Saccharomyces cerevisiae S288C: one gene and its partners. The protein of the gene in region 3 purifies or fractionates together with the protein of the main gene of each other region. This does not show direct contact. Each region holds a gene or a part of one and is shown on either strand. Other genes may lie near its edges. The genes, in order: SRP14, SRP72, SRP54 and SRP68.

Evidence for each region.
Region 1: the proteins of SRP54 (region 3) and SRP14 purify together in Saccharomyces cerevisiae (affinity purification with mass spectrometry; 4 studies listed by BioGRID). This does not show direct contact.
Region 2: the proteins of SRP54 (region 3) and SRP72 purify together in Saccharomyces cerevisiae (affinity purification with mass spectrometry; 3 studies listed by BioGRID). This does not show direct contact.
Region 4: the proteins of SRP54 (region 3) and SRP68 purify together in Saccharomyces cerevisiae (affinity purification with mass spectrometry; 3 studies listed by BioGRID). This does not show direct contact.

The regions. Positions count from the first base shown.
Region 1 is NC_001136.10:291,231-297,937, reverse strand, and holds SRP14 (RNA-binding signal recognition particle subunit SRP14), read right to left. Parts: upstream 5,158-6,707; coding exon 4,717-5,157; downstream 1-4,716. Other genes in the region: NUR1 (Nur1p), read right to left, coding at 1-1,118; RAM1 (protein farnesyltransferase), read left to right, coding at 1,609-2,904; clathrin-mediated endocytosis regulator UBX3, read left to right, coding at 3,179-4,546; putative dolichyl-phosphate-mannose-protein mannosyltransferase PMT5, read right to left, coding at 5,798-6,707. UniProt on the Saccharomyces cerevisiae protein: Component of the signal recognition particle (SRP) complex, a ribonucleoprotein complex that mediates the cotranslational targeting of secretory and membrane proteins to the endoplasmic reticulum (ER).
Region 2 is NC_001148.4:150,952-158,091, forward strand, and holds SRP72 (signal recognition particle subunit SRP72), read right to left. Parts: upstream 5,262-7,140; coding exon 3,339-5,261; downstream 1-3,338. Other genes in the region: U2 snRNP complex subunit LEA1, read left to right, coding at 1-379; pseudouridine synthase PUS1, read right to left, coding at 564-2,198; ribosome biosynthesis protein NIP7, read left to right, coding at 2,544-3,089; IPL1 (aurora kinase), read right to left, coding at 5,539-6,642; RKM1 (protein-lysine N-methyltransferase), read left to right, coding at 6,891-7,140.
Region 3 is NC_001148.4:707,330-714,781, reverse strand, and holds SRP54 (RNA-binding signal recognition particle subunit SRP54), read left to right. Parts: upstream 1-1,753; coding exon 1,754-3,379; downstream 3,380-7,452. Other genes in the region: YPR089W (uncharacterized protein), read right to left, coding at 1-1,507; transcription factor SUA7, read right to left, coding at 3,644-4,681; ASA1 (Asa1p), read left to right, coding at 4,954-6,285; YPR084W (uncharacterized protein), read right to left, coding at 6,440-7,452.
Region 4 is NC_001148.4:84,870-93,311, forward strand, and holds SRP68 (signal recognition particle subunit SRP68), read left to right. Parts: upstream 1-3,647; coding exon 3,648-5,447; downstream 5,448-8,442. Other genes in the region: putative rhomboid protease RBD2, read right to left, coding at 1-428; YPL245W (uncharacterized protein), read left to right, coding at 717-2,081; UDP-galactose transporter HUT1, read right to left, coding at 2,145-3,164; IQG1 (Iqg1p), read right to left, coding at 5,753-8,442. UniProt on the Saccharomyces cerevisiae protein: Component of the signal recognition particle (SRP) complex, a ribonucleoprotein complex that mediates the cotranslational targeting of secretory and membrane proteins to the endoplasmic reticulum (ER).

The DNA of each region.
Region 1 (6,707 bases), on a different chromosome or scaffold from region 3:
CTGGTTTCACGGGATCCTGGCACACTTTCTGTCATTTTCGGTAATGCCTCAAATTCCCTTTTTTCATAATTATAAACCTCTCTGATTTCTTCGCCACATAGGGAGTGAGTGGTGAATATTCTCGGTGTTTTAGATCTAGTACCCATTGCAGATGATAGAGTATCTATATTGCTGCATTGGTTAATTCGTGCCATTATATGCTTGTCCTCATATTCTTGCAAAGCTGCACTTGATAAAATCAAGTCGTCGTCCACGCTTCTTTGAAATCTCTTAGTTATGATATAATCCAGAATATATTGATGGAATACTATAGCAATTGCTGAAGTAAACGAAACATCAGAAAAGCTTAAAAAAACAATTGCCGTTGGTGAAAAAGACACAAAAAGATTAATCATGAAGTTAGTGGGGATCCATTTTCTTAACTGAAAAAATATCTCATCTTCATTTTGATTAACATGAGGACCGTCATCACGAGATCCTCTGAAAAAATGCTTCAACATAGACCACAAGGACTGCTTATAAATATCTTCATAGTATTCTTTGCTTAGATCCTTCAAGTTGTGTTTAGTGAGGTTTGGGGAGTTGAACTCTTTTTTCAAATGGAAGAGATTGTAAGTCTTAAAGTATCCAAACATGAATTTACAGCTTACGTACAGGTTCAGGGACAGCAGTATGAAAATAGTAAACCTGAAAAGATTATTCAAAAACCTTAAGGTAACAAAATACCAAGATTGAAATGCATAAAATTGATTATTGTTTTGAAAGCTGGATGATATCTCCCATAGATAATCAAACTCTTTTAATTTATTGGATTTAGAAAGATCGAAAGCGCCAGACTTGACGTTTAGTTTGTAATAGTTGGGCTTGATCAAATTGTCCTGCAAGAGTCTTATGATAAAAAAAAGTATTGTTAAAAAATTCCCTAATGGCTTAGCTAGACTTTTAGCATAAGCATCCCAGTTGATCATTTCTAACTTTTCATTTATTACCAACTGCAAGTCTAAAGGAGAAGTAAGTAGCTGATACCACCTCTTCATCCATGCAGATTTTGATTCTCTTTCCTCACCAACTACTTCCGAGTCGTCATATGCTTCATTTATCAAATCATTTGAACCCATTTTACTGCCGAAGGTAAATGTAAAGCTCTCTACTGCACAACAAAGTTTTTTAGGTTGTTCGTTTCACTAACTTCTAAATATTGTCAATCAAACCAGACTTTAAGGAAACTACCACTTGTCCCAACGGCCTCACCCCTTTTAATACGGTGTTAACTTCTTCCTTTATATATTGCAGGGCTATTTTTCCCTCCTTTCGCTATTGAAAGAGATCACTATTCCCGTGCTCTGTTCTGATTAAGTAGGAGGACAAAAACACTTGTAACTTAATCCACCTATTCTTATTATTTCTGGCTAACGTTAGAGGTCTTGAAGCGAAACTGTTTAACATTGTAACTTATTAATCTTTTCGTATAAGCTGTTGCCTGATTAGGAAAGCTTGAAACTGAAACACGCGAAAGTGGCTAGGATAAACCAAGCAAGGGTCCATATCATCGCCGTTCTTATGCAGAAACAACTGCAGTGCTTGTAAAGCTATAGGCAATCAAAGCGTATGCGACAGAGAGTAGGAAGGTCCATAGCTAGGGCTAAATTTATAAATACTGCCTTATTAGGAAGAAAGAGACCAGTTATGGAAAGAGTCGTCGATATAGCGCATGTAGATTCAAGTAAAGCAATCCAACCATTGATGAAGGAACTAGAAACCGACACTACAGAAGCACGATACAAAGTACTACAAAGTGTATTAGAGATATACGATGATGAAAAGAATATAGAACCTGCTCTCACGAAAGAGTTTCACAAAATGTACTTGGATGTCGCTTTTGAGATATCGTTACCTCCACAAATGACAGCACTAGATGCTTCACAACCGTGGATGCTATATTGGATTGCTAACTCATTGAAGGTAATGGACAGAGACTGGCTTTCAGATGACACCAAAAGAAAAATTGTAGATAAGCTCTTTACTATTAGTCCTTCAGGAGGACCCTTTGGTGGAGGTCCTGGCCAATTATCTCATTTGGCCAGCACTTATGCTGCAATTAATGCTCTCTCCCTTTGCGATAACATAGATGGATGCTGGGACAGAATTGATCGAAAAGGAATTTACCAATGGCTGATATCGTTGAAAGAGCCTAATGGAGGATTCAAGACCTGTTTAGAAGTCGGAGAAGTGGATACAAGAGGTATATACTGTGCCTTGAGCATAGCAACCTTATTAAATATTCTTACAGAAGAGCTTACAGAAGGTGTGTTAAACTATTTGAAAAATTGTCAAAATTATGAAGGTGGATTCGGCAGTTGTCCTCACGTAGATGAGGCACACGGAGGCTATACTTTCTGTGCTACAGCTAGTCTAGCAATTTTAAGGTCCATGGACCAAATAAATGTTGAAAAGCTTTTAGAATGGTCTAGTGCTCGTCAATTGCAAGAAGAACGAGGATTTTGCGGAAGGAGCAACAAACTTGTTGACGGTTGCTATAGTTTTTGGGTTGGAGGTTCGGCTGCCATTCTTGAAGCTTTTGGATATGGCCAATGCTTCAACAAACATGCTCTTCGGGACTACATATTGTACTGTTGCCAAGAAAAAGAGCAACCTGGTTTGAGAGATAAACCAGGGGCCCACTCAGACTTTTACCATACAAATTATTGCCTATTAGGACTGGCTGTTGCGGAAAGTTCATACAGTTGCACTCCTAATGATTCTCCACATAATATTAAGTGTACTCCAGACCGCCTAATTGGATCATCGAAACTTACTGATGTCAACCCTGTCTATGGTTTACCAATAGAAAATGTAAGAAAAATTATCCACTACTTTAAATCCAATTTATCTTCTCCAAGTTAACCACATACTATTATATATATGTATTCAATCTCCTTAGCGGTCAGTCTCTTTCCAATTTCTTTCTCTTTACGTTATCATTGTCCTTTATTCGACACTTCGGCGACCGCTTTTAAAACGATAATAACAAAGCGAAATCTTATTGTAACACATCCTTGCTTAATTACATACGAAGCAAAAAGTGAGAGTAAGTTCAAAAACAGCGGGCAATCGTACTCCCAAATTTTGTTGTACCTCATCAATCGGCTTGACTGCGATTTAAACATACCCTTTAAACATGGATATATTTAGGCATACTTTTGGAAATAATGATGATTCCTTTATTCGAATCCCAGGTGCTTTTAGAGAAGAACCACCTGCTGATTTGAATGGAAGGACAGAAGATCAAAACAGCAATACAAATGAACCCACACAGAGCCGGGATGGACGCTTAAAATCAATACTCCATTTTTTATTTCAAGCTCCCCTAATAGTTCTTTATTATTTATTGAATTTCATTGTCCGAAGTTCACGTCTTTTAAAACCTCTATTAAGACTTCACGGATTCTACCAGAGGAAGCACAACCGTTTACTAGACCACAGTTCCCAATTACACCGTCTTTTAGAAAATCTAGAAAACGAAGCTCAAGCTGTAACGTGTTCTGAAGGTAACGGGAATAATGATGATGGCAGCAATACTGACAGTACGAGCAACAATGAGAGCAGTGGGGTCCAGTTTAGTTTTGGTTCTTTATACAACCCTGAAAATGGAACATTTTCCAAAAGCATTATGCAAAATAGTTACACTGAATTATTGGATGCTTGTAGCGAACAAGTGAAATTTGGAGTCATTTATTTACATGACCCATTGTTGGATAATCATATGGATTACGTTAATAAAATATTGTGCTCAGAAGCCTTTGTTAACATGATAAGGAAGTACCAGGTATTACTATGGTATGGTGACGTTACTACATCCGAGGGGTTGCAAGTTTCCAATGCATTAAAAATTAGGCAATATCCCCTACTTGGAATAATTTCTTTAAAGGCTGAGAAAAAAATAGAGTTAATAGCAAGAGTTGAAGGTTCTATTTCTAACTACAAAGCCCAAGATTTGGAGGCCATATTCTCCAAGAATTATTCTCGATTAATTCAATTGCGTCAGCAAAGACAAAATATTGAAATGCAGAGATTAATAAGACAACAACAGGATTCAAGATACCAGGATTCCTTAAGACGTGATCAACAAAGAGAATCAGAAAGATTGGAACAGACCCAAAGAGAACAAATGGAAAGAGAGCACCAAAGAATAGAAAACCAATGGCTATTGTGGAGAAAAAGCCAACTAAAACCCGAACCCTCTTCTGATAAAGATGCAAGCAAAGTTGCGATCAGACTAGAAAATGGGCAGAGATTAGTGAGAAAGTTTGACGCATCTCTACCAACGGAGGAGATATATGCCTTCGTAGAATTACAGTTGCATGACATGTTGAACTCAGAAAACGATACTTTACCCGTATACCAACCTGCTAATTATCAGCACCAGTATAGCTTCAAATTGATCACGCCGGTACCAAGAAGAGAGCTTGATTTATCTACCAAAATATCTGACGTTAGCGGCATATATCCATCAGGAAATATTGTAATGGAACGCCTGGACGAATGAAAGGAATTTCAAAAATAGTCATCTCAAAACGTTTATTCTAAAGTTTAGTTAAATTTATATCTACACAACTTTATGCAATTAATCTTTTATATCTACGTTGCCATCCTTTAATCTACACATCCAAAGATAACAAGAGGCGCACATGCCTTTTGACTCAAGTGTCACGTGCATCAGTTTTTCTTCGCTACCTTGTTTTTCTTTCCTGTCTTACTGATGGTACCGTTCTTACTCTTCTTTTTCTTCTTCTTGATCAAATTCTGCATGCCCCCCTTAAATACAGATGAATACTCTTGCCAAAATTGATCTAACTCACTTGCTTTTACCACTGTTGAGCATTTTGTTTTCTTGTCATGCGAGCCATAAGACATTCTGATTAATAGTGGGTATTCTCTGTCAGATCTTGAGCTAACTGAAATTTCAGAAGCCTTTTTAGATACATCATAGTCAGGATGGTTGGTAGAATCAAATTCAAGATTCCCTTCCACAGGATCGTGTTCTATGAGTCTTTTGGCCGTTAGACGCACAGTTATATGTTTTTCATTCGCAGTCTGGAAAAATTCTGGAACCTTTGATAAAAATGCACCTGGTGATAAACAGCCAGTATTTGCCATTGTTTTAGGGTGGTAAGAAAGCTACGTTTTTTGATTTGTATTAAAGAAGAGGTATGCCAACCCGTAAGTTAAACATTAACGTTAAGTATGGCTATTTTTTCAAATGAGAGATATATTATCCTTTTGCACGGGCGAGGAAGTAAGAATATGTAATTAGTTGTTTTGTAGAAGCCTCCAATTTAGGGCGATTATGCAAAGACAATCAAATAGCTGTTGTAGTCTTTATCATCGGCTGAATGTTTTGATCTGCCTACGTTCATCTCCTCATGTGCTTAAAATGCCACTCAGTGGTGATCTTGAAAAGCCCGATAAGAGAAATACCATGTTCACAGCTTTCCTTTTACCGGTTCAATCCTAATTCATCTATTCTTTGTTTATTAAATATCTTGTTGTATTTGACAATATATATGTATATACATTACTTAATACGGATCATTTTTTTGGTATTCGTTAGTTGTTTAGTGAAATTCAACGAAAGAACAAGATAGGAAAGTGTTGCATTGTGACCGGTTATGAACTCTTTTTTCATATACATCTGGTTCTTTTCCATATGTACGTAGATCTTTCCCGCAGTTTAGCTCAAATGTAGTTTTTAAATCTTTTGCTAAACGAATGTCCAATCTGAATACGGGTGGATGGATCATGATTCAGCGTTTAATTCATAGTGGCTATCGGATAGTAATAGTGAATTGCAATAAAAGTCCCAGCTTCCTAACCACTTGGACCTCTTACACAGGTTACTCGACCATCCAGTAGCATAAATAAGTGGAGAATGCTCGCTGAAGAAATAGAAACATACAACCATGAAAATAGCCACCACTATATATCCAGTATTGTTTCTTTTGTTAGAAATATAGGTTGAAATCAGGTCTAAAGCATGACCAAATGCTAGGATACCAAAATAATAGGCCGGCAAATAATCGTACAAAAATAACTTTTGCCCCACAAAGAAGTAAGGGAAATAGTGGGCGGCAAAGCCTAATAAGTACTGAAAGACCTGATAGTGGAAATTTATGATGTGCTTATCCCGTAGAATATTCACACCTAATTTCCAAGCAAGAAGCTCAACAGCCACTCCAATGATGAACGTGCAAATAAATGCTGTGACAGACCACCACAAAACAGCGTTACCTAAAAAGTACACCTCTCTGCCATTTTCATTCCAAAAATCAATACCACGCAACATAAGAGGCCAAGTCTTTGGTTCAGATGAGTAGGCATGACTAGTATCCATATAATTGTTAAGGTAGAACATGAACTTGTGGATAGCAACAAACTTCTGCCAAAAGCTCATTTTCTTATAAGAAACCTTCTCTGGATTTGGCAAAGAAATTTCGTTTTCGTTTTCTTCAATATACCATGAAGTTAAGTCTTCCCTTGCAAAGTATGCACACGTAACTTCCTGCTGCCCGAATCCCCACTCAGGTAGCTTTTCAGGATGTGAAAATAAGTAACAACCAGTTAGATAATGCTTCAGCCTAAATTTGGTTTCAATAGCCCTAATATGTTCCTGGGCAGGTCCCGGCTCTGATCTCTTTTTATCGATTTCA
Region 2 (7,140 bases), 560 kb from region 3:
TCTTCAAAGGTTGCGTAGAGCGCCCAGGACGTTGAAGAATCTAACTTTAATAGGGAATCAAGTATGTCATTTAGCCAATTATAGAGAACATGTACTTCGATTAGTACCGCATTTAGAGACTTTAGACTTTCAAAACGTAACAGCTGAGGAAAGAAAGAGCGCAATGAGCTTTCCAAGGCAGGCGGACGGCGATACGTTGGGCCCAGTAAATACTGCAATAAGAGATAATGGATCCAGAGATAAAACGATGGAGATCATGAATTTGGTGGTGAGTAAGATGACAGTAGAGAGAAGAAATGAATTGAAAAAGCAGTTAGCAGAAGCTACTTCTTTAGAAGAGATTGCCAGGCTGGAAAAACTACTCTCTGGTGGTGTTTAATCTTTTGGTTAGTGCGACTGTTCAATGACTTAAAAAAAAAGAATTATAAATTATTCTGTGCCATTATATAATAATATATAAAACGAAAACAAATAATGGTGCTCTATAAACATTAGAGGACAATGTCAATTTCAATGTCAATGCCTTAGAAATTAAAGTTGGTAAGAAAGAAGGAAAGGGCAACCTAATTAGCTGCCGCTTCCGGTTGTACTTCAGGTTCGTTGCTCTGAGTGGTGCTGGATATTTCAGCCTTTTTACTAGCAGCTTCCTCCTCTTCCATTCTTTTTCTTTGCTTAATCTTCTTATTGCTCTCGGGCGCATCAGTAAGACCTGGGATACCCTTAGCTGTCAAGAATTCGAAGATACTCTTTTGCACAGCAGGTCCCGATTTATCGGCAGTTTCTTCTCCCTGTGCTCCAGTAACCTTGTTGAAACTATCAATATAACTAAAGAACGCATTAAAAACATTTTCGTCCACCTCTTCCTTGTAGATCTTATCGTAGATATGCTTCATTTTGAACTTATCCACTTCGTCTTGATATTTGGAAAAATCGATCGCCTTGTAACCAAACTGTTCTAGTCTTTTATTATAACCTTCAAATACTGGAGCTTCTAACAATAATCCTAATGCAGGTGCCTTCGGAATATTAATCTTCTGCTGTCCGTAAGCCTGACTAATGCGTTCGACGGGGCAACCACAACGGGTAATTAAGGTTGCCATTGATACCATCTTACGAATTTGATGTAGCATGAAAGACTGGCCGTGAATCTTGATGGAAATCCATTCTGTTTGGGCATCGCCAATAACAAATGGATCAGATACTTTTATATCTTTCATAAATCGAATGGCACTTGGTTCTTTGAAGTCCTTGCCTAATGTAAAATTATGGAAGTTATGAGCGCCAAGGTATTGACTTGTAGAAGCACGGAATTTGGCCAGTTTTGCCGCGGATATACGATATCTTCTACGGTGAGCATTTTCTAATTGCTTGTACTTTTTTACCTTCTGGTATAGTTCTTCATTTATATCAAATTCATCTCTTGCGGGCGGAACATATGCTAATATAGCTTCGATTTCTTCTGTTGAAAATTTTTCATTCGCATCTTTTTTAAACTCTTCCCAAAATTCTTTGGATTCCAAATCTTCATCTAATACACCAGGTAATTCTGTTTTACTTTCTTCGATGTCTCTATAAAGTATAGAACCAGGTTTGGGGCCAATGAGTGAATAAGTTGGTAATAAGTATTCGTACCAACGTGAACTGCACATTTTTCTACAATCAAACGCCTTGTTCACACGCTCGATATCCCATACCCTTATCCCTTCCGGTAACTTTTCGTTGATCTTCTGCTTGATATCAGGATCTTCAATAATCATTTTCAATGATATTAAATTACCTCCAGCATGGACACCCTTATCAGTTCTTGCAGCTCTCATGAATCCATTCTTTTTCAAATCGTTGGAGTTGTCCTTGGAAATAGCACCTGCTTCAACAAATGCTTTGAATAGGGCAGACTCGATGGTTGGATTTGGTGGATTATATTGCATACCATGGTAGCCAGTACCACAGTAACCAACCATAACAGCCACCTTTCTCTTTGGGAGACGAGGCTCCTTGGGAAGTGGATTGCCATTTTCATCCAAACGAGGACCGCTTTTTGGTCTTTTATCTATGTGTTTGTCATTATCCTTTTTTTTGTCCTTTTCATCGTCGAAGTCTGCCTTACGAGCTTTGGTCAATTTGCTCTGAGCGCCTCTCTTGTAGACATCCTCATTAACTTGATCGTCATAGGCAGGCCTCAAATTCTCTTCAGACATCCTTGATATCACTTATAATTGTTATTTACTAGCACTTTATTGTCCTTTATTATTTTTTTAGTACTTCTTGTATTTCAAATTTCTCGAACTATAGCGATGACTAAAAGTGAAAAATTTCAAAGCCAAAAGAAAAAAAAAAAAAGAAAATATTATTTCAGCGGCTAATAGTTACCCGCATCAAAATAATATATCTCTGTACGGTAATGAAAATTTTTGAAATATGCGATGAGCTTAGAACTAAAGTAAGCAATGTATTATTGAGGTAATTGACGGTTTAGTGATTGGATCGTATTCTAGATTTCCGAGTAGTAGAACCATTGAGGGAAACTATAGTTAGGTGCAATAATGAGACAGCTAACAGAAGAAGAGACCAAGGTTGTTTTCGAAAAACTCGCCGGCTATATTGGTAGAAATATTTCTTTTTTAGTGGATAATAAAGAACTTCCTCATGTCTTCAGATTACAAAAGGATAGAGTATATTACGTACCCGATCATGTTGCAAAATTGGCTACTAGTGTAGCAAGACCTAACTTGATGTCTCTGGGTATTTGTTTAGGTAAATTCACGAAAACTGGAAAATTCAGGTTACATATTACTTCTTTGACAGTATTGGCTAAGCATGCCAAATATAAGATATGGATTAAACCTAATGGGGAGATGCCATTCTTATACGGTAATCATGTGTTAAAGGCACATGTGGGTAAAATGTCTGATGATATACCAGAACACGCCGGTGTTATTGTGTTTGCAATGAATGATGTGCCATTAGGGTTCGGTGTCAGTGCGAAAAGTACTTCTGAGTCAAGAAACATGCAACCCACTGGTATAGTTGCTTTCAGACAAGCAGATATTGGTGAGTATTTGAGAGATGAAGACACCTTGTTTACTTAGTGGGAAGGACTGATGATGAATTCCCGTGTACATTTCACTTACAGCTTGCGTTATCTCTCACAATGTATTTTTTTCTGTATAATAAAGAATCATATAATTAGCGCTTAAAAGGAAAGAGTTGTTCGATAAAATGGGGAGCCTAACCCCTCGATGACCTTTCTTTTGAATTAGTCGAGTTCCATTTCATATACAATATTACATAACTTGACAACATTTGAGGATTACTAATGACAAAAATCTTTATACGCTCTATTTACGGCCCTTCTTCTTGTTCTTAGGCTTTTTATTAACAGTGGGCTTCCCTTTCTTTGATATGTCAAGGGCCTGTTCTGATTTTTTGTTCATAGCACCACCTTGAGTTTGTTTTGCACCTTGTTGTTTTTTCTTTGGCCTATAAGTAGACCTGTCTCTTAATGGCAGCCACCTTTCAGGATCAGGTAATTTGGAGGTGTCGCGACCTTGTAAAAATTTTTCGAGGCGTTTAATCTTTCTTTTCTTCTTTAGCTCTAAAACTTTTCTCTTTTGAACTTTGCTAACTGCGGTGTTTTTACTTCTCTTTGCTGACGATTCTAAGGGTTTCACACCAAGTTGAATTAATTTATCAATATCAATATCTCTCACTAGATCTATACCTTGTGCTATATCCAAAGAATCTGACGAAACAACTCTGTCAACAAGGACATCTGCATCGCCTTTACTAAAGTTTGAAATCTCTCTGAGTAAAGCCTTCGATTCTTTAGCATTACCCATGGACAATAATTCAAACCCGACGTGTTTCCAAAATGGTATGTTTTCTTGGATTTTTCCGCTCAATTGGACTCTCACGGAGCCTAATTTTTTAAGCAGAACACTTTTGGAGTTGTTTCTTCCCTTAATCTTGTATAATTCAAATAAAATGTAACACACGATGGCTTGTGAATCGTTGAATTTTTCAAAGGACGATTTCCAGCTTTCATTTAAAAATAATTCTCCTATTCTGATAGCATTTTCCCATTCCTTCTCTATTATTAGCAATTGGATAGTCAGTAGTAATATTCCAATCGTACTTCCATCTGTTCCACTTAAAATGGTTTTTGTAGTGTGGTGGTAAAGTTTCTTGGCCTGCGTCTTGTAGCTTTCCAAAGTAACATTGTCAACTAACTTAGAGTATTTATCGAACGTTCTTGATAAAAGGGACTCTTGAGAGTGAATTTTGACATTGTTGAACAAACGCAGGAAAAGTACATTGCGTTGAATGTTTGACCATTGTTCATGGGTGAAGGTTTGTAAATTAAAAGTGTTTAGTTTTTCTACGTTTAATTCCCTTAACAGTAAATTGAAGTTTGTATTGTATTTAGAGAAATCAACAAACGCATTTAGGTTATTTTGACAAATTAAAGAGAATGGAGAATCGGCTTTCAGTTCCTGCAATAAGCCCTTTAAGATTTCTTTACTTTGTGCAGTTTTCCCCACCATTTGCAAAACAAATGATAATTGCAATTTAATAGTATTAATATCGTTTTGATAGCCTTCATTCGTGGCTCCTTGAAGCGCTTTTTCTAATAGTTCGATAGCCTTGTCATATTTACCTACGGATGCCATGATGAATGATTCATTGAATAATAAATCGTAGGAAGATTCATCCATAGGAGTAACTAAGGGTGATCTGTTCATTAACTCTGTCGCAACGGATAGCGGAACCCTTTCGTTACAAGAGAGTTCAATTTGACTATCCTGATCCTTCTCATTGTGACTTGCTAAATGTTGATATATTTTAAAAGCTTCTTGGTACAGCCCATTTTTATAACAATATTGAGCTCTCACATGTAGGATACCTCTAAGTGACTCGATATCCTTTTTTAGTACCGTATCGAGATCATCTGTGATAATTGCTGTGTACAATGTGTTGAATTCATCTGGCATATTCAATTTATAGAAAATGTACAATTTTTCTAGCGCAAATTTGCGACCGTACTTGTCATCTATATGTTTGAATTTTTTTAAATAATGTAAAGCCTTTTGATACTTGTCCTGTTGGATAACAGCTACTAAGCAACGTCTAAATACATCCGCTGGATTCTCACATCCAGAATCCAATAGTTTCACGCAAGTCTGTTCGACCTGCGAATGCTCGTCTTGAGACAATTGAATGTTCAATTGAGAGAGCAAATTAGTTAAATTATCTTTAGCCATTTTTTTGCTTTCTTTCATTACTCTTATTATTGATCAGAACCAACTCAACAAAGTAAATCTGCTACTTTAATGCATAGCAATTTTCAGCTTGTTTTCCTCTTTTCTTTCGACAAAGGCGAAAGAAAAGAGGAAAAAATGAACAAGAAAATTTAATCAAATATCGCAATATACGATGCCGAAAAGAGTAATGAAATATTAGAAATGGATACTTAGTATTATGTGATATGTGCGGGAGTGATTAATAGTGCCCTTCAAACGATTCTGTCATACTTTAATTCTATAACCGCTTATTTTCCCAAAAGGGCTTGTTTCTTAGTATCCAAGGATGCATTTTTACGTCTCCAAGGCGCATTCTATCTTTGGGGTCGTATTTTAGTAGTTTAAGTATTAAATCTTGCGCATCCTGAGAAATGTTACTGGGCATTTTGATATCCAGTGCTGCTATCCTTTTATATGTAGTATCTTTCATTTCTTCTTCGAACGGAGGGGCACCGGTCAGTAGTTCAAACGCCAGGACGCCAAGAGCCCATGCATCTATAGTGTGATCATATTCCCTTGACTCCACCATTTCTGGAGAAAGGTAGTCAATTGTCCCACAGACAGTTTTCCTTCTATTTTCTGGCGGATTTATTATACTCCATCCGAAGTCCGTTAACTTAATGACATTATTGAACCCTATTAGTATATTTTCAGGTTTAATATCTCTATGAATAATATTCTTTTTATGCATATAATCTAGGGCATTGGCAATTTGATAAATATAATCTGATGCTAAAATATCGTTGAAGGGTCCGTGTAACCTCAATAGTTTATACATTTCCCCATTGACTAAGTATTCCATTAGCAGGTACACTCTTTTTTCATCATGAAAATAGCCGTATGATTTAGTTAGATTCGGATGATTTAGCGATGTTTGTATTTCTACCTCCCTTCTGAATTGTTTCTGTAAATTATACTTTATTATTTCTTCCTTCTCCATTACTTTCAGTGCGCAAATATATCCTGTACTCCTGTGCCGAACGCAATAAACTTTACCGAATTTACCCTTTCCTAATTTCTTCCCCAGTTCAAAGTCATCGAGTGATAGGGATTTAAATTTAGGTAGCTTCTTATTTTCGTGTATCATTTTGGAAGAAGTCGCTTTCCTTATAGGTGATGGAATTTTGGAGCTTTCCATATCCAAAAACTTCTTATTGTTTACAGGTAATCTGTTCAATTTTTCTCTTACAGGTGAAGGTATTTTTGAATTCGGGTTTCTTTGCTGCGGCGAATGGGATATTCTCCATGGTTTATTGATCCTGGACGTATTTGGTCTTGTTGTGGTCTTTTTCGATGGCGAATTAGCGTTTAGTTTGATATTTACTAAACTATTGCGTTGCATTCCCTTTTTACTTCTTTCTTTTGTTGTATTTCAAAATCCCAGTTTTTTTTGCGCTAAGAATGATCTTGCTTTGTTTATGCATTCACTTGAGCAATTGCATCAGTTGGCCTTAGCTCAAGGTTTTTATAGAATGGTAAACAAATTAAGCGCTTTACAGGAAAAACGCGTGAAGTTAAACTTACTGTTCAATAAGCAATGCTGTATCGGAAAATGGAGCACAAAGGTTATAGATACAAGAGAAGACTATCATGTCATCAGATGCGTTAAAAGCACTACTTCAGTGGGGTGCGTCATTTGGTGTAATAGTGCCAGAGGAACTCAAGTTTTTATATACCGATCTTAAGGGCATTATTTGCGTATGTGAAAAAGATATAGACAATCCCAGCATCAAGATTCCTCCCGAGATTGTCATTTCAAGGAATCTGCCCATGAAGTTTTTTGGGCTAAGTGAATCCACTAAGAATATCAACGGATGGCTGAAGTTGTTCTTCGCAAAAA
Region 3 (7,452 bases):
AATTGTTATCATCATTTGTTGATGCCCTATCATCTGAATCATTCCCATCTTGTTGACCCTCCTCTTCTTCATGATTTTCTTGACCCTGGCTTTTTCGATGAAGTTCTTTCTTTTGTTGTTCCTTTAATTGTTTTCTGTTCTTTTCCTTCAATAAAAGCTTGGCCTGCTTTCTCTTTTTAAAAAAGTTCCAGTCTCTTTTGTATAAAGTTTGTTTAACGTCCTGGATTGTTGTGTATGCTAGTAAAGTTGAATCTATCAAAGAAATCAACCTGCAATGAATGGAAGATGTCAGTTCTATGATAATAGAGTGGATGGTGTTAATCAGCTCTTGTAACACGCTTGGATGCCTCTTGAAAAATGAATCATCTCTACAGAGGTAGTAATAGAGAAAAGATAAACAACTTAACCAATACGATTGCAATACAATGTCACCTGCTTGCAAAGAAGCTTCTGTGGAGACCAATCCTGCAGCTCCGTTGGATGAAACACTGGTCAGAATTTTTGTTAGAGATAAGTTAATTAACGATTCTACTAGTGGCTTGGACTTTATCTTATGATCAGCATATCTAATACATTGGTATATTAAACCAGCTGGATAGGTGGTCATGTGAGGTTCCTTTTGTGGTAGCGATATCAATAGATTCAGGATTTGTGGTATATCAAAGTCGGAAAATTCCAAGTATTGGTCCGGAGATAGTTTATCATAATCAAATGTACCGTGGTAGTCTTCTGTATATGTGGGATCTATTAGGGTTGCAGCTCCCTGAGAATGATTCATGTTCTTTTCATCAGAATCCAGAAACATGTTGTCATTTGCACCAGGGGACAGGGTCAAACCGGCGACTTGTAAGTCAATATTATCAAAAGTTTCTTTCGTGGTAGAGTCTTCATTACTCATTAGAAGAGAGGTGTCTTTCGGTTGGGAAATTTGAGGTATTTCATGTTTTACTTCGGTACGGTATCGAAACATATTGTTTTGTTCCAAAAATTCCGAAAGTGGTGAATATGGAGGAACCATATCCCAAGCGGTTAATCCAGCCTTATTCGTCATGTTGAAGTTTATCTCGTCGAATGCGTTGAACAGCTCCAAGCAACAGTTCCTTCTCTGCAGACTGAAACTCCACATCAAAGGTGTGTAACCTACAATGTCGTCGACAAGATTCAAATCTAATTTTGCACCAGAAGGATTATCATGTAGTAACTCAATGTAGTCTGCACGATCAAATACAATGATATAATGAATCAAGGCAACGCCTGTGACGGATTTATCATTAACGTTTTTGACTTCCCTTAATAACTCCTTGAATGTAGTAAATTCTTCTTCACGGTCTTCGTCGCAGATCAATTTGACTAGTTGTACCCAGGAATCGCATTCTGGTCTATCTTCTTGGTCAAGTTTAAACAAAGTTGATTTTACCAGCGCGAGTTTCTCCTGAGCGTGAGAGGAGCCTACTGGTTTGTCCACCGTTCTGTCCTCTATTCTAGCATCATCCCAAACACTGTTCATTGTTCACGAATGCCTTGTGAGTTCTGTAGACCGGCAATTGCGGCTCTCCTATACTTCAGTCACTACCCATATTGTTATAGTATGATGGTCTTTTCGTTCATCTCAATATCGAAAAATCACCGCTAACGATAAAGACATCAACAAAGTGAAAAAAAATAGTGGTAAAACAAGATAATGAAAAGTGGTTGAACAGCAAGGATGCAGAAGAGAAGGGAAAGAAAACACAGCATCGAGTCTAACTAAAGGATGGTTTTGGCTGATTTGGGGAAGCGGATTAATTCTGCTGTGAATAACGCGATTTCCAATACACAGGATGACTTTACTACATCCGTAGATGTAATGTTAAAGGGCATCGTGACTGCGTTGTTAGAATCGGATGTGAATATTGCCCTGGTTTCTAAGTTACGAAATAATATAAGGTCACAGCTGCTGAGTGAGAACCGTAGTGAGAAGTCCACAACAAACGCACAAACTAAGAAGCTTATTCAGAAAACGGTGTTTGATGAACTGTGTAAGTTGGTCACCTGCGAAGGTAGTGAAGAGAAGGCCTTTGTGCCCAAGAAGAGAAAGACAAACATCATCATGTTTGTTGGGCTGCAAGGTTCAGGTAAAACTACTTCCTGTACCAAGTTAGCAGTTTACTACTCGAAGAGAGGTTTCAAAGTGGGTTTGGTATGTGCGGATACTTTCCGTGCTGGTGCATTTGACCAATTGAAACAAAACGCTATAAGAGCAAGAATTCCATTTTATGGGTCATATACGGAGACTGACCCTGCCAAAGTTGCAGAAGAAGGTATTAACAAGTTTAAGAAAGAGAAGTTTGATATCATCATCGTTGATACTTCAGGTAGGCATCATCAAGAAGAAGAGTTGTTCCAAGAAATGATTGAAATATCCAATGTCATCAAGCCTAATCAAACTATCATGGTTTTAGATGCTTCCATTGGTCAAGCTGCAGAGCAACAATCCAAGGCTTTCAAAGAATCGTCCGATTTTGGTGCCATTATATTAACCAAGATGGACGGCCACGCTAGAGGGGGTGGGGCAATTTCGGCCGTTGCAGCCACAAACACTCCGATTATCTTTATTGGTACAGGTGAGCACATTCATGATTTGGAAAAGTTCTCGCCTAAGTCATTCATATCTAAACTGTTGGGTATTGGTGATATAGAGAGTCTCTTTGAGCAATTACAAACCGTTTCCAACAAGGAAGATGCAAAAGCCACAATGGAAAACATCCAAAAGGGTAAGTTCACCTTGCTAGATTTCAAGAAACAGATGCAAACAATAATGAAAATGGGTCCATTATCAAATATAGCGCAGATGATTCCTGGTATGAGTAATATGATGAATCAAGTAGGGGAGGAGGAAACCTCTCAAAAGATGAAGAAAATGGTTTACGTTTTGGATTCTATGACTAAAGAAGAACTAGAATCTGATGGTAGAATGTTCATTGAAGAGCCTACAAGAATGGTTCGTGTAGCTAAAGGTTCAGGTACTTCTGTGTTCGAGGTAGAAATGATATTGATGCAACAGCAGATGATGGCAAGAATGGCACAAACCGCAACCCAGCAACAACCAGGAGCCCCTGGTGCCAATGCTAGGATGCCTGGCATGCCAAACATGCCGGGTATGCCAAACATGCCTGGTATGCCGAATATGCCTGGTATGCCAAAAGTGACTCCACAAATGATGCAGCAGGCACAACAAAAGCTGAAGCAAAATCCAGGTCTAATGCAAAATATGATGAACATGTTTGGTGGCGGAATGGGCGGAGGAATGGGCGGAGGAATGCCTGATATGAACGAAATGATGAAAATGATGCAAGATCCACAAATGCAACAAATGGCAAAACAATTCGGTATGGGCTAAAGGCCACCATTTGAATATACACAGTATATATATATATGTATGTATGCATATTTCAAATAACTTGTTTAGCTTTCATCCTTTCGAATACCTCCTTCAATAAAAAAAAAAAGAAAAATCTTGTTAAATTATAAAGTGTTCATTCTATTTTTTTGAATTGTAAAATAACAAAATAAATATTCGATTGAACTGCCATGGAAAAGGTTCTACCCTCTAACACGAGTACCCGTGCTTCTTGTTCCTATAATTTACTGTTTTATCACTTCATTATTTCTTTTCAACGCCCGGTAAGTTATCCAAAGACACTACACCATTAGCAATAAGCTGCGGATCCACAAGCTTGTCTCTATGCTCATAAAGTATCTTGTAACCAGATTTGATGGTACCTTCAGTAACTTGCAAGGTTTGGCCCACTTTCGCTGCGGTAATAGGGATCTGAAAGAGCAGGATGTTTAGATAGATGGAAACAACAGCGATAGTAATAGGGGATTTACCTGCAATTTCTTTGATCTCTTTACATTTCTTTGCGGTATATTCAGCAGAAGTAGTGACTTGCATCGGTAAGCCCAGATGCGAACAAAACCTGGGTATATAAGTTAGGTTTTGTGCACCACTCATATTATCGGTATCAATCTTCAAGAAACCATCTTCGCTCTTGCCTCTTAAAATGTTCTTCATTATGTTTAAAGTTTTACCAAACTCTTTAGTTTTGACATGGATTAATGACTGGATTTCTTTAAAAGTCCTTGCCACTTCAGCACGTCTGCAACCAATCAGTATGGATGCAGCCATTATACTCTCCATTGATTTCCCCTTCAAAGTTTTTTCATCGTGGCAAAGTTTATATGCTTCCTTGGCACAATCTTTCACAATCTTCGGTAATTCAGCAGCATCACATAGCATGGTAATCTTAGCAAATGCAGCTTGTACTTCATTATCCTTTTTATCCATCACATTTTTTCCTTGTGCCTTATTCAGTTCTTTGGTGAATCTCATATCCGTGGTTTCACCCTTTCCGATCCTTGTAGATAGGTTATTCCCATCTAAAAGAGGATTTGAAGCCTCACCAACACGACTTGGGTCATCACCGTTGTGATCATCATTTGAAAACGTTCTCCACTCCGACCTGGTGTCAACCAGTTTATCTGATAGTACTAGACCACATAGAGCACATACAACATCCCCTTCACTAAATCTTTCAACGATTTTTGGTGGGTAGACTTTGCACTCCGGACACGTCAGCACAATATTCAGATTAGGACCCCTTCTTCCTGCTCTTTTATCTATGCTCTCCCTAGTCATCATTCTGCGTATCTACTTCTCCCCTTCTCTATCACTGGATCGTCCACACCAGCGTCTATTAAGTTGTCTTTATAAGTGATGATTATTCTCTTCACTTTTTTTTAACTAAATTTATAACAAAATTTTTCGATTTTTAAGCAAATATTGAGACGAAACGGTGATGAGTAAGACAGAAATACAGAGATACTAAGCTATAAACTACTATTTAAGCACGTGCATAAATTGGGTGTGATGTGCAGTCAAGGCGAGCGTCGATTACAATGGGCGTAGAACACATGAGAGGCTTTAGTAATGAGATAATCCTGAAGAGAACGTTGACTTTATCCGATTTCACCTTACGTTACCATAAAAGGGGCATCACAGCTTTGCAGGTCATCAAAGCACCGTCAGTTTCGAATGTGCCAGTCTTGTTATCCGGTGATAACTACGGTTATTTCGTTATGTGGGACCTGGTGACCAAGAGACCGATTACACATATAGAAATCGAGGGCAACTCGCACATTATAGCGTTTTGGTGGGTGGAAACTACCAATGTGCTGTACATTCTTTCGAAAGACTCCATGCTGCGAATTTTTGAGCTTGATTCATCTACACAACTATCTATAGATTTAGTTAGAAAGCTTAGCCAAGCCAATAAAACGGATCATTTACAATGGACTAAAATCTATGAAATGCCCATAAACACACTGAATTTTGCGAATTTCATCATCGAAGCTGAAGTGAAACCAACCAAAGATAATAAAAGTTATAGATTGGTTTGCTGTCATACTGATGATTCGGAAACTATCGATATATATCAGATAATAGAAGACTCCACATTTAAATTGAAAAGACCATTCAATAATATTAATTTCCCCAGATTCTTGAAGCAGCAGAATTTTTTAGGAATTTCGAAAGACTCCAAATTCGGTATCATAATGAGATTTGCTAAATTAAACGATGTCATATTTTTAGGTTATGAAAATGGGTTTGTAGTCGGATTTAAAATTACTTTTGATGAAGGCCTTCAAAGGGACATTGCAGAACTGGTCCATGTTTCTAACGATCATTATCCGAATCCAATACTTGATATGTGTGTTAGCGGGGATGAACTTTATAGTTGTTCAACAGACGATTTCATAACCAAGTACAAAATTCCAGTGAACTTACAACTTGAGACGAAATACCTTAGAGATGATGCGCTTTTGATAAAATGCCCAAGCTCACTGAGAGTCAGTGAGCCATCAAAAGTACATCTTCCCTTGAAGAATATTGGTCATATTGATAAAGTAAAAGACGATTACTTAGTCGTGAGTAGTTGGTCAGGTATGACCATTGTTTATAATATGCGGACTTCAGAAGTGGAGCAAACTTTTGTGAAATCAAAGAACAACCTGGTCGTGAGTGATAGCTCTATGGGAGACCTAACAAACGGTAGCGGCTCAAATACCGAATCCAGCTCGAAATCCCATAACTATAAAGTGGGAGCCATGACATGTTTGGAATCGTTTGATGTGCAGTCAGATGGGTTGAGGTTAGGACAACTTAGACGTATTAAAGCGCTGGCGAAATGTAACTGGTGTTTAATTGGATATGAAGATGGTACCATAAAGCTCAATAAAATATAATTATTTTTTTTCCTTTTCTGTTTACATGGTTTCAGAAAGAACATTTGTATATATACATACGTGCCTATATATACATATTTCCTCAATCCAAGTAAAAAAAAGTGCGATGTATCATGGTCATAAGAATGTTAAAGGGAGTTCTTCCCTCTATCAATTATTTTATAATTTTCTTCAACATATTTTTGTTTAAGCCGGCATTGTTGTTTTTCTTCTTGTCATTCATTAAATGAGAGTTGTAAATTGAACTTGAATTACCACTACTACTACTTCCATTGGAATTAGAAACCAGTAGCTTCATCTTTTCTGATATTTCCTTTATTAGTAAGCTAACCGCCACATCGACATTTAAATCATCCATGCTGTCTATTCCAACAAATCCATATTTCCATTTTGTTGCTAGTTGTCTTCCCATTTCAATCAACATTGGGCTTGCGAGTTCATGATTAACGTGAGAACAGACGATAATGCATGGTGGTGGTGAATCGGGAGATGAGGGGTCTAACTCGATGGATTTTAGTTTGGTATTATAGGATCTCAATTGCTCTATTTTGGCGCTTTTCTCTTTGCTATTTTTACTCCATAGATGTCTCAGGCTGTAAACCAATGAGTAAATATCATCCTCTTTGCCTTCCTCCCATCTTTTTTCATAATTTCGAAATTCAGTCCAAGCATCTAGTATGCAGTTTCTAATCACTTTTAAAAGTTCAAATCCACCATCGCTGACGTTTTCCGTATCTGTGTTCATCACATCATCTCCATATTCCGGAGGGCCTCCAATATGGTTTAATTCAGGGACTGCGCTATACACCAAGATATAACCGTCAACTTTACCATTCAACTCAGAGGCACCAGAGGCAACCAATAGTGAAGTAGTAGATACAGGTCGTCTTGGTTCATCTGCTAGTCCATGTAGGATTGATTTTCCTAAATTTCGGAAGAGAGAAACTTCTAAGAACGGCACCACATTATCAGGACTGAAGCCAGGCGTATCAATAATATCAATCTGGATTGGTGCATAAGTGGGTGGAATGTAATTCAGGGGCAATTTAAAATGCTCGATAACGTTAAGCTGGTCTGCCTTGATTTTAGGAACACTTTGAGAGTTAATGTCATTGGAAAAAGTTTGATACAGCGGAGAATCAGATTTATCCAAAGATAGGGATCTCC
Region 4 (8,442 bases), 620 kb from region 3:
GGGCGGATCTGTGATTCTTTAAAACTATAGTATGCGAATAAGGTGAAACACCACCCACTGGCGCCTGCAACTAATGCTTCTGGATATAGCAACTTACCCAACAAACAGTACAGAATTCCGGCAAATAGAGCACTCAGGTTCAAAAAAACACCTGTGTACACAGTCCCATGCGTTTCTTCGAAGAGATTCAAGGGTGCCCAGATGGCTAGCACATTGAACAGTAAATGAGGCAATGATAGGTGAATTAAAGGATAAAGCGATAGCCTGCTCATTTGCAGTTTGAACAATGACTCTGGCGCCAACGACAGGTCTTCCCTTAGGGCAAAAATAAAACTTAACAGGTAAATAGCGGTTAGAAATACCACAAGGCCTGTGGTCAACGCAGCTGGTGGATGACCACCGGGAAAAACGTACGACTTCCAATTCATAGCACGACCAAATAGCACAACCTAACAACCAGAGTGAATTGCTGTTCTCAGTGCTTCCAATTAAGCCTTTCCCATCCCCCTATTCTTCTTGTATCGATGCAGTTCAAAAAAAAAAAAAAAAAGAGGCTTTAGATCTCAAAGGGCCGAAAAAAGTGAAAAATTTTCTCGAGAAATCATAAAAGCAGCCATCGCCATATATAAACAATCTATGCATATGTATGCAGCATGGCATCGCATCTTTCTTGGCGACCCGGTAGTAGCATTTAACTTCCATTAGAACCATATAAAATGCATGGGCCTACTTCAAAAGCTATTTCCCGCAATGTGAGAAGCGTGAAGAGACCAAGAAGAGCACCTAGGCCCGTGGTCTCCACGCAGGCTATGAACAAGTTGTCTAACGTAACACTCTCTGCTGAACAAGAAAAGTTGAGAGAGCGCGTTTTGTCGTTCATGCGTTCCAACTTATCTCAGTACAAGTCTGACTGGAAACATCCGGCCATGTTTGTAATCCAAGGGGACGCAGGTACAGGCAAGTCTGTGATTCTAAACTCCTTGTTCAATGAAATTCAGAAACTATCCCAGTTCTCACCTTCTTCTGAAGATATCTTACATGGGACACATAATTATCTGGTAGTCAACCATCCCGAGATGTTAAAGTTATATATCCGGATTAGTGACAGTTTCAAATATATTTCTAAATCGTCACTAGAACGGCCCACTTCGTTGATCAACAATCTACAGAAGAGAAAAGTCATGGCCGATGTAGTCATTGTAGATGAAGCACATTTGTTGGCCACTTCTAAGGATGCTTTCAAAAGATTTTATGGCGAAAACCATCTCAAAGACTTAATGTCCCTTTGTAAAGTGCTTGTATTGGTTTACGATGATAAGCAAGCTTTAAGAATGGGTTCCTATTGGGATGAAGGTTCTAATAACGGTGCCACTTTAAAGGACTTTTACAACGAGATTCCACCAAAATCCAGAGACTGGTACACTTTAAAACAGCAGTTTAGGGTTGCTGCCCCACAAAACGTGTTGAACTGGATTGACCAAATTAGTGTCGCAGGTAAAATCCCACCAATTGAATCTGTGCTATCTAAGGGCAATGCAGATTGTGCTGACGATAAAATTAAGAATTTTGATTTCAAAATTTGGGATGATTGTGGCGCCATGTACGAGGCAATCAAGGAGAAAGACCGTCAATACGGCCAATGTAGGATGCTATCTACTTACGATTTTCCCTATCGCTTGGACGGAAAAGACTATTACGTTGAATGTGGTGACAATTTCAAAGTTCGCTGGGATCGCTATACTCCACGTGAAGTGACGCCTTGGAGTGAGCGTTGCGACACGATTGATGAGGTAGGTAGTGTGTATACTATCCAAGGGTTTGATCTGAATTATGCTGGTGTAATTTTGGGCCGTTCCATTGGGTATGATGCGGCTAATGACTGCATCAAACTAAGACCAGAGCTGTATGACGATAGGGCCGGTTTCACCAAAAAGAAAAACATTCACAATGCAGAGGACGTTAAGCAAAAGATTATTATGAATAGCATTAATGTCCTCTTAACTCGTGGCGTGCGTGGTCTGTATGTTTATGCATACGATCCTGAATTAAGAGAGAGACTGCTTCGTCCATCAAAAAAATAGGAAGTACATAGTATAGACAAATTTTATAAATATTAACTTTTATTTGTTGCGATCTTCACTAATCTACGCAGATTTTGCCTTCGGTATATTAGCCTTCTTCTTGTTGAGTGCTTCCCAAGTGATTCCACCAAATACTATAAACATCCCCACCCATTGCTGGAAACGTACACTCTTACCGAAGACAATAATACTCAAAATCATCGAGACCATTTTCCTGGTGACTGTTATCATGATCAAAACTAAAGAGCCAAATTGTTCTAGAGTATAGAAAATAAAGCATTGTCCCATAGCGCCACAGAACGAATAAAGCATTAAATAGCCCCACACTTGTGGGTCCATCGTCAATACAGAAACGGCATTATCCCATTGTTTGCAGTCGATCACAATAAAATACAAAATATTCCACAATATCACGAAGAGGTTCAGTGTAAACATCAAGTGTGCACCTGTTATCAAAGTTTGTTTTCCCTTTTCTTTGGCCTTATTGGCCTTTAGTAGCTTATCTTGGGTGGCGTTGGTCAATCCATCAAGGAATAAACTAGAGAAAAGTAGTCCAAACCCTTGTAATTTGTTATCATTTCCGCTCTCATTAAAGGATCTCTTCAACTTTTTACCATCGTTGCCACCTATAGTGAAAATAGTGACACCGAGACTTACCAAGAGAGCTACAACTTTTTTTTGGCTTGCTATGGGCGTCCTATACAAAAGCAAATGCACCAACAACACGGGGATCATCTTGCATGACTTTGCTAACATGTAAGTGAGATAATCCACGTGCTTTAAAGAAGTTGTAGCCAGCGGGCCTGAACTACTCTGTGTAAATGATATCAACATCAATTGTTTCCAATGATCTTTAATCATTTTTCTGGGCGGATATTCCACCTTCTTCCAGTTTAAGTACAGGTAGCCCATCATCATTGCCACAGAAGCTTGTATGAGGGATATTACATTAGGGAATTGAAACTTTCCCATGGAGTTTGGCCAGGTTCTTGTAGCCAAAGGCTCCTGTACTAATGCCCACGTCAAAAAAGTAGCATATATACCAATCGCACAGATCACCAAACTGGATGTACTTCCCGCCATACAAATATACGAATACTGCCTTGTTTACTTCTTCTTGTTACGTTGTAATTCTGGTTCTAATTACATTGCTGTCATTTTTTCATGTTCGATGGGATCTACAAAACAACCTTTAGAAGCGATCTCAGGGAAGCTTTGGAAGAGAAACAGCTGATGATTCTGGCATTCCACAAACTACAACAACGAACCAAACGACATATTCCATTGCAGTGATTTGATTGGGAGTAAGCTTTTATAAACGAGCAGACCAATATGATTTACGTAGTATTTCGTTGTCTTTACCACATCGTTGTTCGTGATAAGTTCTGAAAATTTTTTTTGGAGTATATTTGCTAGAGTTAATCCAACAATATTAGCATAAACGAGCAGCTGGAGACTAGGTTATTTGAATTATTTGAGCATCAAAGTGATCAATTGTATTATATTACAGTGTAATTTTCTTTTTTTCCATATTGAATCAAAAACTAGCCACGCTTGAAACTAAAGATGGTTGCCTATTCTCCAATCATTGCCACCTATGGTAATCGTGCAGAACAGTTTTTAGAAACAGACTCAGACTTCGCTAAGTATCATGCGAAATTGAATAAAAAGTTGCAACACTTGAGGAGCCGTTGCCATTTGGTCACCAAGGATACAAAGAAATACTCAAGTAAAAATAAGTATGGCGAAATTAACTCCGAGGATTATGATAATAAAACTAAATTGATTGGTGTTTTGATTTTACTACACGCTGAAAGGGACTTGGCACTGGCTGAAACTTTGAAATTGAGAGCTCGTCAAAGAGGAAAGTTAAAGAAAAGTGAAGAAAAGGTTTTATCCACAAGATTGAAGAAGGCCTGCAAGACTGCTGATAAATTGGTTAACGTCACTCAAAATGAACAGCAATGGATAACTCGTGCCCAATATTTAGCGTTCGCTAAATTGGTACATTCAGAGTACCTAATTAATGGAAAAAGGTTCAAGAGGAAGGACAATGCCAAAATTTCGAACAACCTAGCCCTCGTTTTCGCCGCATTGGAACACTTGAAGAATCTAAGCTTATTAGCTGAAGAAGTTGTAGATAACATTGTTAATAAATACCAGTACTCTCTCAAGCAGTACGCGGGAAATTTAATTACAACGCCCGAAATAAATAACTTTATCGTGGAAAGAGTTCAATCTGATGAGAACAAGGACGATGAGCTTGTGAAATTGTTATTAGACAATGGATTCAATATGAAAAAAATTACAACCTCAACTGAAGATCAAAAGGTTACCACTAACATAAACTGGAGATCTTTCAACGCCAAGATAATCGATGCTGAAGTTGCTCAATTTTTGGAACAAGGTCTATCTATCCACCCAACTCAGATTACTCAATATACACAGAGGCTATCAAAATTGGAGAAAGCTTTAGACCGTCATGAATTTTTCATCGCAAACCACGACGATCAAGATGACATAGACGAGATGGTTGAAAATAGTTCTGAAAACAATCAGATAATTTTAGCCTACATTAAATATAATATTCTTTTGACCTCTATATCTCGTGAAAGAGATTTGTTTACTCATTTATGGAATCAATGGCTGAAATTAAATACTTCATTACCATCGAAGTTAACCAAATATAAAGAAATGGAACGTATTGTGAAGAATTTGACAAAATATTTATCGGACATAATGGAGCTACCTGGTGTGTATTCAGATGACGAGCTGCTAAGCCAATTAGACTTATGCAAGCTGTATTTCCAGTTATTTCTGAATACGGGCTGCCTGAGTGTTTTATATCAGTCGAAAGGCAGATATATGGAGGCGTTAGCTCTATATGTGGACGCTTACCGAAGATTAGAAAACAAATTATCTGAAATTGAATCTCTAGACGAAATCTTACTTCCAGCAAATCTTTTGTCATTGAATTCTGTCCGAAGCTTACAAAAGAGAATCGAAAACGGTGGTAATAGTGTCATTACTTTGGCGGAATACGAAAAAAGAAATCATGGTGGCAGCTTAGGGAAATATGATTTGACAGTGATTGAAAAATTGGATAGTAAAAAAATACTGCCAACGGACATACAATTGAAAAATTTATTCCCTCTCAAGCCAAAAATGCTGCCCATTCCTAGTAAACCAACACTTTTTGATTTGGCCTTCAACTACATAACATATGATAAGCAAGAGCCCTCAGCTTCTCAAGTGAAAGATTCAGTCACAGAAACCGAGAGCATCTCTCAAACACCAATTTCTAATGAGCAGACGGAAGGAGAGCCTAAAAAGAAGCGTGGTTTCTTGGGCCTATTTGGTCGTTAATATTTTTCTAGTATGACTGTATTTATAGTACTATATAGATTATTCCATTTAAACAAATGATGATTGCCAACTATAGTAGCCAAATAACGAAGTGCATTACTTAACACATCTTATTTTTATCTACTGAAGATATCGCCAAATTACAGCACATGCTAAAAAGAAGATGTTTAGGGTCCTTTACATAACTATACGTTAAATTATTTTTGCTGCTGAAAATAAGGAAAATAAAAACAAAGATAAAAATAGAAAGAATGGGAAAATTTAGTAACAGCTTTTGCCCAATATGCTCAAAACCGAGTTATCTATTACAAAGCGTTCCTTTTATAGAAAAAACTGACAATCAAATGTAGTAATTGGCTATTGTTAACAACAACGTTGGAATGGAATAATTTCCACGTCTCGATTTTTGGTTCAACTTGAGTCTTTATCAAGTCTTTAAATGAGAAAGAATCGACATCATCCGAGTATCGTTTATCGGGCCCTTTTCTTTTGTCAATCATTTGAATACCGAATCTAGAACCATCCGATGTGGAAATTTTGAATATTATATCTGGGAATTTAGGACCGCTCGAACCAAAGACTTTTACAGTCAGTTCAGCTAGTTTTTCACCCCTGATGGTTTTAAGCACTCCTCTTTCATACAACTGCTTTGTGTTCCATTTAAACTTCATTCCCTGCAATTCAGAACGTTCTCTTCCTTGAACTTTTTTTACTGCATTCTTAAAATTTCCAAATTTACTTTTGTGCACCGGCGAAAAATCCTTGGCTTTCTGGAAGTCTTTTATCGTATGATCAACATGTTTTTTAAGCCTTGATAATTCTATATCTAAGCTGTGGTTCATTTCCGAAATTTTTGTGAGTGTTTCCTTTGTGATGTAAATTTCCTGGGTTACATAATCAATGGCATAGTTGGGATTTTTAATAGTGTTCGCAATATCGTTTAAGAAATTTTGTAACTTATTATCAGAAGAGCAAAAAGTCCCCGTACTTTCTAGTTCATGTATTTTTTTCAAAGTAACATTTTTGAGTGTGAAGTATTTCAATGGTTTCAGCTTCTGTATCATTGGATCATCCCTGATTTTAGGATTTTGCTCCAGAAAATTTGCAAAATTTGGTTCATCTTGAGGTAGAATTGTACTAATTGAAAGGTCATACAAATTGGTATCTACATCCTCAATTTGCATCATGTACACAAATGCCCTTTTAACTTGGTCGTAGATTTTTCTCATCTTGTCATCACTAACGAGGAATCGATATGCAGATGCATCCAATTCCAAGGTAACACGTCCTGATCTTGGAAAGGATGAATTGTCCAAGTTCTTTTCCAAAATATCATGCAAAATATCTGCTTCCGGAAATTCATTTAAATACTCTTCAAATTTACCACTGATTTCCAGAACCTTTTCAGTTAACAATTCCAATTTGGGGCTTGGCGATACCATATCCAAATAAATCAATCTATCTCCCTCTTGTTCATACTCTGGATCTACTAACACATTATAAAGGACATCTTTGATATGAGGCTTTATTTCGTTAGCGTACTGGTTCAATGGATCCAAAAAGCCATCAAAATTTTTGATTTCAAAAACAGTCGCCAAGGATTTCATTAGAATGTCAATTTTTTGGTTATTTTTTTGAACGTTGCTGTCTTTGTATCCGTAATATTCCCGGTTGACCAAATATTCAGACACAAAAACGTTCACTAGAATACTTGATATGGCCCTTAAAGAGTCAATCTCCTCAATATTCTTATCTGCCGCGTAGCAGAAGATTTTAGTGCAGAGGTACCTGATTTCAACGGGAATAGTGTGAACCTTTCTGGTATAAATTTCAGCGACCATTTCAATCGCGTGCCATAGGCACCTTAAATTGTCAATGAACTTATTCTTGGTACTCGCATCATCCACAGGCGAACAATGCTGAGGAGAGCTAAAGCCGTGTATTTCTTGATAAATTTTGTATGGATCACTTTCAAAATCCACTACTGGATCTGACAAGTAATCCAAAACTGGGACTATTATAGAGAAGAATTCTGGAGACTCTCTTCTCAAAAAATCTTGAAGAATGGTTTGCCAAAATTGTGATCGGTTGTCAAGAAAGCTTTCAATACTCGGTGCTTCATTAATCGCATTTTGTAACATTTCACAAACAAACCTTGTGAAATAGGATCTCTCTCTGTCGTTCATCCTTTGATTCACTGTTCCAAATGTCATATAAACATTCTTTGCAACAAATTCTGGCTCTTTCAAATACAGCAATTTCCAATAAGAGGGATCAACTTGCAACATATAGAACAGTTTTTCATACTTTTGATATTTAGACTTCGGAATCGTAGAATCGGAAATACCGAGTTCATGATCTTTATCTTTTAATAGTCCAAACTTATCCAATACTCCGTTAATATTTAGTTGTTGTCTTATGCTCTTCAGTAATCGTTCCTTCTTCATATTTTCGGAATCAAGAGAGGCTTGGCAACTCTCCAACTGGTTTTGGACCTCTTCAATGGTTGCTGTTCCATTGAGCAAATGAACGAATTTTTTGACAGCCCAAAGACTTGGATTTGGACAGTCTAGAAGTTCCAAATATGCCGATCTTTGCAGACTTTTCCTAATCCAGCTTTGAATCATAATAACCGACCTTACGTTTCTCTTGTAAAAACTCGACTTTTGGTCCAAGCTTTCACGTACTAAAGCGCCTCTAGAAAATGCTTGAAATAATGCTAAATTATTATACTCCACAATGTCATCGACTAAGTCTAATGTGTAGCGGACTAGAATACCTCTAACCAAACCCTGGAGGTCGTGCACAGTTTCACTGAGATTATTTTCGGGCGCAAACAGTGACTGTACCTTATGTCTTACAGCGTTTCCGCGTATACAGGCTGATAATTGAATAATATTACAGTTTTCTTTTCCAAGTGAATATATTATTGATGCTAGGCACGAACGCGTAAATATTCCTCTAATCAAGCTTTGCAATTTTGAGATATTTTCCT